Callithrix jacchus: one gene and its partners. The protein of the gene in region 2 binds, or shares a complex with, the protein of the main gene of each other region. Links are inferred from orthologs where the notes say so. Each region holds a gene or a part of one and is shown on either strand. Other genes may lie near its edges. The genes, in order: POLD3, POLD2 and REV3L.

The links.
Region 1: POLD2 (region 2) and POLD3 share a complex: the UniProt entries of both Homo sapiens proteins name them as parts of the both the DNA polymerase delta and DNA polymerase zeta complex. The link is inferred for Callithrix jacchus from reciprocal best matches to the Homo sapiens genes POLD2 and POLD3.
Region 3: POLD2 (region 2) and REV3L share a complex: the UniProt entries of both Homo sapiens proteins name them as parts of the tetrameric Pol-zeta complex. The link is inferred for Callithrix jacchus from reciprocal best matches to the Homo sapiens genes POLD2 and REV3L.

Annotation. Positions count from the first base shown.
Region 1 is NC_133511.1:66,339,410-66,343,064, reverse strand, and holds part of POLD3 (DNA polymerase delta subunit 3), read left to right. Parts: intron 1-1,508; coding exon 1,509-1,776; intron 1,777-2,925; coding exon 2,926-2,998; intron 2,999-3,655. UniProt on the Homo sapiens protein: Accessory component of both the DNA polymerase delta complex and the DNA polymerase zeta complex.
Region 2 is NC_133512.1:12,208,348-12,211,611, forward strand, and holds part of POLD2 (DNA polymerase delta subunit 2), read right to left. Parts: intron 739-3,264; coding exon 617-738; intron 419-616; coding exon 295-418; intron 1-294. UniProt on the Homo sapiens protein: Accessory component of both the DNA polymerase delta complex and the DNA polymerase zeta complex.
Region 3 is NC_133505.1:117,613,727-117,617,381, reverse strand, and holds part of REV3L (DNA polymerase zeta catalytic subunit), read left to right. Parts: intron 1-1,450; coding exon 1,451-1,593; intron 1,594-2,510; coding exon 2,511-3,655. UniProt on the Homo sapiens protein: Catalytic subunit of the DNA polymerase zeta complex, an error-prone polymerase specialized in translesion DNA synthesis (TLS). Lacks an intrinsic 3'-5' exonuclease activity and thus has no proofreading function.

The DNA of each region.
Region 1 (3,655 bases), on a different chromosome or scaffold from region 2:
TAGCTTTGGGGCTGCCCAGTCTAAAGTTACTTCTGAGATGATGTATCAGGGATTTTTTTTTTCCTTGAGCCAGGTGTTCTAGCAGTTAATCTTGAAGTTGTGCCTAGTTGATCTCTAAGATAATGACTATAATCATATAGTTTAGAAATCTCTAGTTGAAGGTGATACACTAAAGAAGGGAGAGAAGCCAGAAGCCTTACTTTCATTCACTTAGTCATTCTTTTAACATGTTGTTCCTAACACTTTTCTATGTGCCAGGTCTTGAGCTGGGCGCCTGAAATATAAAAGATAAATAAGACTTCAAGGAGGTCTTACCTATGTTCAATAAGCAAGACTGGGAAAAAGAAAATATTTTTCTTTGTTAGAAAAAGCTGGGGAACTTTGCTTTAAGTATAATCCTTTGGGAAGGCTAAATCAATTACCCATTCACAATGTGGAATGTTACATTATGGATTTGTGTGAAAGGGCACTTCTGTAACAATTAGACAAGAGATGTATGTTTCCTTTAATATGCCACGCAAGCTGTTCCACCAACTTTCTTCTCTTGGCCTTGGGCATACTTACTTGTCTGGTGCCGTTAGTATTATTAGAAATTATTAACAAATTGCTGTGAAGGACTATAGGTTATAGGAGCCAGTGGCTCTGCTCCCAGCTTCTCCCATGTTTTAAAGCATTATTTATTTATTTTGAGACAGGGTTTACTCTGTCCCCTAGGCTGGAGTTGAGTGGTGAGCTCATGGCTCACTGCAGCCTTGACCTCCTGGATTTAGGTGATCCTCCTACCTCAGCCTCCCGAGTAGTCGAGGCTATAGGCATACGCCACCACACCCAGCTAATTTTTGTATTTTTTGTGGAGGCAAAGTTTCACCATGTTACCCAGGCCGGTCTTAAATTCCTGGGCTTAAGTGATCTGTCCACCTCAGGTTCCCATACTGCTGGGATTACAAGCGTGACCCAATGCACCTAATCCTACAGCATGATTTACTCTGGCCAAGAGAGTTGCCAGGAAATTGGTTAATATTTAAAGCTTAGTTTTGATTCAGTCAATATTTATTGCAAATCTAGCCCTACTAGAGGAAGGCCTTTAAAAACAAGGGCTATTTCATTTCCCAAGGATAATAAAATTACTAAATCTTTTATAATTGTTGGTTGCATTCTTACTCTTTTGATTAGGATACTTTTTTCAAAAAAGCAAGAATATTCAATTTGTTATGGTAGAAGATGCCTAATTCCAACCCTATCAATTACTAACTAGATGTATGACCTCGTACAAGTGACTCACTTCTCTCCAATATTTGTTTCTTCAGGTAATACAGAGTTTTGTACAACATTTTTCTAAAAGTGATTTTAAACAATATTAGAGTTAAGTATTGTGTGGCAGAAGCAAGAGTTTGAAAATAAGGTTTTATATTGACATTAGTTTTTTTTTTTCTTTTTTCTTTTTTTTGTTGAACCACCCAAGAATTGCATATACTAACATTAACTTAATGCAACATTCTTGTCCCCAGATTTAGTGCAATACAATGTGCATCTGCAGTCCCTAGATCTCCTGCTGAATCCTCTTCATCTTCCAAAAAGTTTGAGCAGTCACATCTTAACATATCAAGTGAGACACAAGCCAACAATGAGCCGACCACCAATGGTCATGGCCCCACTCTGTCCAAGCAGGTTTCCCAGCAGCCCAAAGGAATTATGGGACTGTTTGCCTCCAAAGTTGGTGCTAAAACCCAAGAAATCAACAAGGAAGCGAAAACAGAGGCAAAAGAAGTAACAAATGTAAGTCTTCTCTGAAGATACCCCTTCATTGCAGCTCAGAGTGGGTAACTAGAAAAGCATTAATAGTTCCAGTGTTAGTTTATTTATATAAGGTTCTGATATTCAGTTCTGATTTTTCTACTTTAGTTTGAACCCTTTAATACTTGATACTGTTATCTAAAAGAGTTCTTTTGCTTTTGATATTATTCTCACCAAGCCTTAGATTTCCTTTGTAAAATGGTAATGTCTACCTTGTGCACATCACAAGATTGTTGTGAGACCCAAATGAAAAAAATGCATGTGAAAATACCTTGAGAATTGTTATGTTCAAAAAAATGTTTGTTTGCAATATATCATTCTGAGGAACATCTTATATTTCAAGCTTTGCAATATATACCTTCCTTCCTAGACTATTTCCCATTCTTATTCTACTTTATGCATTTTTTTGTTTTGTTTTGTTTTTTTGCTTCATTTGCTCCCCTTAACTTTTTATTGTTCAGTCATCTGAACTAACTTAAGGGCATTGACTTAAGAAAAGTATCATTAAGATACTATTTTTTAAATCCAGAAGAGTGTAATTATTGTTACTATTATCACTGTCATTTTCAAGCTTCTGCCTTGGGAAGAGAAAGGGATGGAGGAAAACACTAAAGTTTATTGAATTTCAACTGTGTGCCAATAGTTGGTCTTTGTTTAAATCCTCTTATCAGTTCTGTGAGGGAGATGTTAACTATTTCCCTTTGCATGTGGTAAAACTGAAACCTAGATTTAAGTAATTTACCTGGAGCCCATATTGCTGTGAAATGGTGGAACCAGGAATTCAGATCTACTTCTGATGACTAAAAATGTAATGTTTTAGGTTTTTCCCCCTTTGTGTACATACTGCCTCTGATCTGTCTGTCAAAACAAATAGTTTTAAAATGTGCTCAAGAAAAGTTTAGTTAGGATCTGTAAGAAACTAAGCTTTAGAGATTAACACCAGTTACTATCTGGTCTCAATTACTGTTTTAGATTTGTTCTTTTATCTAATGGCTACACATTTTGCTATGATTATATAGAGACTATACCTTCACAACATGTGCTATGCTATTGAAGAGATTGTTTGAGACTGCTACTTCATGAACAGCCTAAATGCTAGCAAAAAATTATATGTGTTTTCTATGCTTGTAGGCATCTTCAGCAGGCAACAAGGCACCAGGAAAAGGGAATGTGATGAGCAACTTTTTTGGAAAAGCTGCTATGAGTAAGCATGTTCTTACCTTACTTTGACTAATGAGTGAATGTTAATATAATAACATATTATATCTGAAGTGAAAGCCACTTTGTCTAGTTTTTGCCTATCCAGGAGACTACCTCCATCTAATATAAATTTGCAGTGTACTGCCCAATATATCGATGAAAGTAACTCAGCTGGAACTTTATGGATGAGTTAGGCTCAGTTAAGATCACTTTGAGAGCAGTTTATTATTTCTGGTTTAATTTCCTGCCTTGAAAAGAGAATGAAATGTTTGCTTCATAGGGCCCTTGCAAATGGGTGATTAAAATAAAAGGAAGGCTGCCTGACTAAGCAGTAAAGTGTTGAGGTTAATAACATGGATGCTAGAGTCAGTTTGCCTAGTGTGACCATTATTTCTCCTGTCTCTTAAGAGGCCACAAAAGTAAATATTTTGCCTTTCTTCAAATTTTTTTTGCAGATTACTTCCAGTGTGAATTAGAAGGGCTCAAGTAATAATGGATATTTTAAAATCTTTTTTGAGAAAGCAAAAATCTTCTTGATTTTTAAAAAGATGTTTAAATAAGAATTCTTTCATATGGAAAGAACCAGTAGTCACATATTTTCATACTTCTCATATCAAATGGACATCCCCAGAGAGTATGTGGTGGAATACCAGGAAGAATG
Region 2 (3,264 bases):
CCAGTCAGTCCTCCATAGCCACACTGGTGAATTCTCACCTAGGACTCCGGGATGCATGCCTGCTTCCTGGGGTCACTGCCTTTGGATGGAGGCGGGGAGACCCATCTCCCAGCCAGATCACATCCACCCTGATGGCCCCCGACTGCCTGGAGCCTCACCTACCTCCTCAAGAACACATGTGTGCCCAGGCCACATGCCCCCAATGCCCCCCAGCTCCCCACTCACATCATCCCTAACACATCTCTGCTGGGCTCTTCACCCGCATCACCCTCATCCCCTCATTGGGCTACCTACCTGTAACCAACTTTGACACATCAATAGTGCCTTTTAGTTTGATACGCTGCAGTTCATCTTCCAAAACCAGCTCGTCATCTGGGTGGATGTATTTGCTCCGAGAAGGCTGGGGTAGCAGGTTGTGCTGGAGTGCGGAAACAAGAGGTAGTCTTGGGGCTAGAGCCCAGCAAGCCTCTGGTGTTGGTGAGCCAGCACTGCAGCCCCTACCCCTCTGGAGCCCATTACCTCTGAACCTGCTTCCCCACCCCCCTATGCCCTGGAAGGTGTTCTAGGGGAAGGCTGGGTCCGCCTGGCTGCTCCTCTGTGTGGCACCCCGCCTCACCTCCTCGCTGATCTCCCGCAGGATGGAGGGCTGCAGCGGCATGGCTTTGAACAGAGTGCCCACCACACAGCACTTCTCCCCAGGCTGCAGCTCACATAGCTTCTTCACTCCCACTCCACTGCCTGGGACATGACGGGCACAGACTTAGAGATGGAGTGGCCCCCACCCCCTGACAGAGGCCACGGAGGCCCTGACCAGCCCTCCATGAGTGGCCAGTAACAGGGTCCTGGCCGTTGCCAGAAGGAGAGAGCATCAAGTGCAAGGACCCCCTGGACTTCAGGATGACAGTAAAAGGTGAGTTAGCCACAGGGGACCAGGGACTCTGGGTGTGGTTGGATGCCAAGTGTCCCTTATGAGGCACAGAGAGACAGACACACAGACAAGACGGAGTGTGAAGACAAGGCCAGAAACACCAGGGCGACCTCCAGACACCGGAGGAGGCCAGGAAGGATCCTCCCCTCAGGCCTTCAGAAGGAGCCAATCCTGCTGACATCTGGATTTCAACTTCTGGCCTCCAGCACTGCCAGAGGGTAAATGTCCGTTGTTTTAAGTCAGTTTGTGGTGCTATGTTACAGTGGCCACAAGAAACTAATACAAAGTATTGCTTCACTTAAATTACAACACTGATTTTTTTTTTTTTTTTTGAGACGGAGTTTCGCTCTTGTTACCCAGGCTGGAGTGCAATGGCACGATCTCGGCTCACCGCAACCTCCGCCTCCTGGGTTCAGGCAATTCTCCTGCCTCATCCTCCCGAGTGGCTGGGATTACAGGCATGCGCCACCGTGCCCAGCTAATTTTTTTTGAATTTTTAGTAGAGACGGGGTTTCACTATGTTGACCAGGATGGTCTCGATCTCTTGACCTCGTGATCCACCCGCCTCGGCCTCCCAAAGTGCTGGGATTACAGGCGTGAGTCACCGTGCCCGGCCTACAACACTGATTCTTAAAAAGAAGGATGCCAAGTCTCAACACAGCCCTGCCCTACAAATAACTGCCATTTTCTTTAAGACTTTAGATTTTTCCACCCCGCCCTCACCCCCACCAAATGCTTCATCCCCCTTAGAGCAGAGATACTCAAAATGTAGACCTCAGATCCCCTCTACCCATTCCATTCCCTGTGGAGTTAGGTGGCCTTGTTTGCCTGGGGTACCTGGGCACTATCTTCCCCAGCCCCTTCCCAGGATCCTGGGGAAGAGCAGTACACATGGGAGGGGCTTGGCACTCTCAAGGAGAAAGGTATGGAGAGTCAGTGCGGGTGGGAGGGAGGAAAACAGGTCCCTGCAAAGCACACATCGAGGCCTGGAGGAAACACTGCAATGCAGCAGACGCCACATCCTCACCTAGCCCACTCATCTCCCCCAAGTGGCCTAAGCACTGTACATGTAACTCAGCCAACCCTGAAAACATGCCAGGAGTAGATATTATCACCCACTGATGCACAGAGAGGTTAAGCAATGTGTCCACGGGCACACAACTGGGATCCAAGAGTGCGCCCCTGAGTACTGGGCAGAATGATCCCTGCAACCGACAGCAGGACACGCTTGCACCCAGGCAGTGTGCTGGCACTGAGATCAAAACTGCACACAAAGGCCAACACTTGCCCCACCGAGCCCACTGGGTCTAGGCGGGAGAGCGACAATAGGCCATAAGCAAGTAACTCGCCATGGTGACAAGTGCTGTGAACAAACGGTGAGCTGAGGTAGAAAACGGAGACCCTGGTCGGGCACAGTGGCTACAGGTGGCCTCTCAAAGAACATGACGCTTCAGCTGACAGTGGGGCTGAGATGGGGCCACAGGAAGGCGAGGAAGAGTGTGCTAAGTGAAGGGAAAAGCCTACAGTAGGAAGGGCTGGGCAGGTTCAGGGACCAGGTCAGTGGAAAGACCAATTTGGAGAGATAAGCTGAGCTTCAGTGAGGTAGCGCAGACCACACGGAGAAGCCACGTGGAGGTGTTCAGGGTGATGGCCAGCATCGACCGCCAGGCCTGGGAGTGAGCACTACCACTGCCCCGCCGCTATCAACACATTCATCATGGCAACTGTTTGGTTTCCTGGCCAGTGTGTGGGCACAGTGAAATCACTGTCGTCCACCACTGTGGAGCTATGTTGGCAGCTCCAAGGACTGGAAGAGAAATGTGCTACCAGAAAGAATCAGGAAGGTGGCACTGACATTGCAGCGAGTGGTACGTGAGCTCTAAAAGGCGCCAAAGAAGGTGTCCTGATGGCTGAAAGTGAAGAGAAGCTACCGGAGCCGCAGGAGGGAGCCCCTGGTTCTGTGGGAGAGAGAGGTGAATAGCACTTTTGTCTCAGATAAAACAGAAAGCATCCTGATATGGTTTGGCTCTGTGTCCCCACCCACATCTCATCTGGAATTGGAATCCACATGGTGTTGATGGAGGGACCTGGTGGGAGGTGAGTGATTGTCAGGGTGGATTTCCCCCATGCTGTTCTTGTGATGATGAGTTCTCATGCGATCTGATGTTTTAAAAATGTCTGGCAGGTCCCCTCACTGTCTTTCCTGCTATCATTTAAACATGCCTTGTTTCCCCTTTGCCTCTGCCATGATTGTTAAGTTTCCTGAGGCCTCCCCAGCCATGTGGAACTGTGAGTCAATTAAACCTCTTTTCTTTGCAAATTACCCTGTCTCAGGT
Region 3 (3,655 bases), on a different chromosome or scaffold from region 2:
AAACTTCTGTAGGCTAGATTAGAACTTTTTTGGACTAAATTTTCAACCCAAAACATCACTGAAAGATGAAAGAGGTTAATCCATAAATTCAGTGTCTACATGTAAATGGCAAATGTTTTAATTTTTCTTCTTAATACATCAGCTATAGAAATCTCCAGATATGATGTTAAATTCTTTCCTCTAACCTCGTCGCTGCTGTAATAATGGGCATAGTTGATCCTGTGATTAAATTTATGCTTGTATGCTCATTGACTGAACCAATTTGGTAAAAACTAAACCTAAACATTTTGTACGCATATATTAGAGAGTCATTGAATACTAGAAGCACAGTGTCTAGAAAAGGACCTAGTTAATTCTACTCTGTATATTGGATATTATATTCTGTGCTGAGTACCATATTTTAAGAATAGTGGGGAAGAAAACTAGAAGGATCTAGTGAGCACTGTCACTTTTGAAGAACTTCTGAATGGAGAATGTTTAATCAGAATTACAAGATAAATGAGAAATGCCTTTACATATTTTAAAGATTATCATGAGGAAAATGGCATCAACCTGCTCTGTATAGCTAGAGAGAACAAAATAGAATCATGTATGGAAGTTGAAAGATTTTGTGTATTACAAGAAGACAGCTATTAACAATTAAAGCCATTAACAATGGAAAGATTGCCCTGTGAGACAGCAATCCCCTTATATAGATTATGTGAAAACAGAAGTGTCTCAGGTTGGTTAAAAATTGTGTTTTGCATTGGGTAGAAAGTTGGACTAGACCTCTGATGTCTCTTTCAGCTCTGAAGGGAGTGATTTTTATGACAAATTGTGATTTGGAAAGGCTTAATGGAAAAACAGTTACAGTATAATAAATATAATAAAATAGTAATTTCCAATTTTTGAGATTAGAGACAGAAAAACCGATATGGATAGAAAAAAATGTTTGCCAATTCAGTTAAAGTGGAAAGCATCAAGTTAATTAATATCAATATGAGACAAAACTTAAAGAGACTGGACTTTACAGTCCATCTGAATTTCTCAGTAACCCTACTTTGTAGTTATAGTCAGCTTGACTGAACACCTTTACTACTTCCCTCTCTCATCTTCAGTATTTTCTCTTCAGCCCTGACCTCAGTGCCCCTTCACTCATCTCTGTTCTTGTTTATTCCAATTCAGAATGCAGGAATTGTGGTGTATTTTAGCCTTTGTGAAAAGGGTTATAAAGTTTATTTACAATAACTCTTTCTAAGTTACTATAGTAAGACATGTTAACAAAGCAAACTAAATATGCTTTTCTAGAAGTTAGAATTTTCAGATTTTATTGTTTTACTATAGAGTAACTTGGATACATTATAGAGTTAACTTAGATACATTATTATAGAGTTAACTTAGACACATTATTTACATCTGAGATGGCCTTTTCTAATGATCATACTCACCAGTGAATTTTAATATTCTCCAGATCACTGTGCAGAAGTAACCACAGAAGTTCAACTGAAGATGATGACTCATCTTCAGAAGAAGAAATGGAGTGGAGTGATAACAGTTTGCTTCTAGCCAATCTTTCTATACCTCAGTTAGATGGAACTGCAGATGAAAATAGTGGTAAGTAAAAAAGTCTGTGAGAAATTGGCTATTTACGATCTAAGATATATTTGATTTTGAGGTCAGGTGTCCTGATTCACACCTATAATCCCAGAGCTCTGGGAGGCCAAGGTGGGAGGATCACTTGGATTCAGGAGTTTGAGACCAGCCTCAGCAACATAGTGGGAGACTGTCTCTAAAAAACTAAAAAAAAAAAAATTAGCTCAGTGTAGTGGTGTATGACTGTAGTCCCGGCTACTCAGGAGGCTGAGGTGGGAGGATAACTTGAGCCCAAGAGTTTGAGGCTGCTGTGAGCTGTGATTGCTCCATGACATTCCAGCCTGGGCAACAGAGCAAGACCCTGTCTCCAAAAATAAATAAATACAATTTTGAAACTGTAATTATATTTTCTATATAGTTGGCTAAGTAAGGCTAAAGTGATGTTTTGTTTTTCACAACTTTTTCTTTTGAAAGAATGTAGATATATGATTTCTTTCTCATTTCTAGAAGGATATAACATTTGTTGATTACTGATTTCAAGCTTTGTAAACTGTAATGTTCTTGTGTAAGTAGAATAAGAAACTAAAATGTATGCTCAGTTTATTTGAAGTGATAATGTAAAGCATATTATTTTATGAACATTTTTAAAGTGACAGTATTTTTCCCTTATTCTCCAAAGGCGCTGAATAGTAATATAATCTATTTCTGATCAATGGAATATGTGTTTAAAATGATGACTAATAATTGTAACTAACTATATTTAGATTGAGTTATTAATGATAAGGATTACTTTTTTGTTAAGATAATCATTTTAAACATACAAACTTAATTTTATGTAATTTTTTTCATAGTGATAGTATCAATATCTTGATGTGGGAAAATGTCTTAAAAATTAAAAGAGTAAAGTGAAATGAATTATTCTTTCCTCCTCATTTCAGACAATCCATTGAACAATGAAAATTCTAGAACCCACTCTTCTGTAATTGCAACAAGCAAGCTATCCGTCAAACCCTCCATCTTTCACAAAGATGCTGCTACATTAGAACCCTCATCTTCTGCTAAGATTACCTTTCAGTGTAAACACACAAGTGCCCTTTCTTCCCATGTTTTGAACAAGGAAGATTTAATTGAAGACCTTTCACAGACAAACAAAAATATAGAAAAAGGTCTAGATAATTCAGTCACTTCTTTTACAAATGAAAGCACTTACTCTTTGAAATATCCTGGATCTTTAAGCAGTGGTGTTCATTCAGAAAATTCTCATAAAGAGAATAGTAAGAAAGACATCCTCCCGGTATCTTCATGTGAAAGTAGTATTTTTGATTATGAAGAAGATATTCCATCTGTTACAAGACAAGTACCAAGTAGAAAATATACAAATATTAGAAAAATCGAAAAGGATTCCCCTTTTATACATATGCAACGTCACCCTAACGAGAATACATTGGGCAAAAATTCTTTCAACTTTTCTGACTTAAATCATTCAAAAAATAAATTATCCTCTGAAGGAAATGAAAAAGGAAACAGCACAGCTCTGAGTAGTTTATTCTCTTCATCATTTACTGAAAATTGTGAATTGCTGTCATGCTCAGGGGAGAATAGAACTATGGTGCATTCTCTTAATAGCACCACTGACGAAAGTGGACTAAATAAACTTAAAATTAGATACGAAGAATTTCAAGAACATAAAACAGAAAAGCCAAGCCTCAGCCAGCAAGCAGCACACTATATGTTTTTTCCCAGTGTTGTTCTTTCTAACTGTCTTACTAGACCACAGAAACTATCTCCTGTCACATATAAATTACAACCTGGCAATAAACCATCCCGGTTAAAATTGAATAAAAAGAAACTTGCAGGTCATCAGGAGACTTCTACCAAAAGTAGTGAGAGTGGATCCGCAAAAGATAATTGTGTACAAAATAATCTTTGTAATAGTAATCCTGAGAAGGATAATGCATTGGCCAGTGATTTAACTAAAACAACTCGTGGAGGTTTTGAAAATAAAACACCCACAGATGGTTTTATAGACTGTCACTTTGGAGATGGAACATTAGAAACTGAGCAGTCCTTTGGACTATATGGA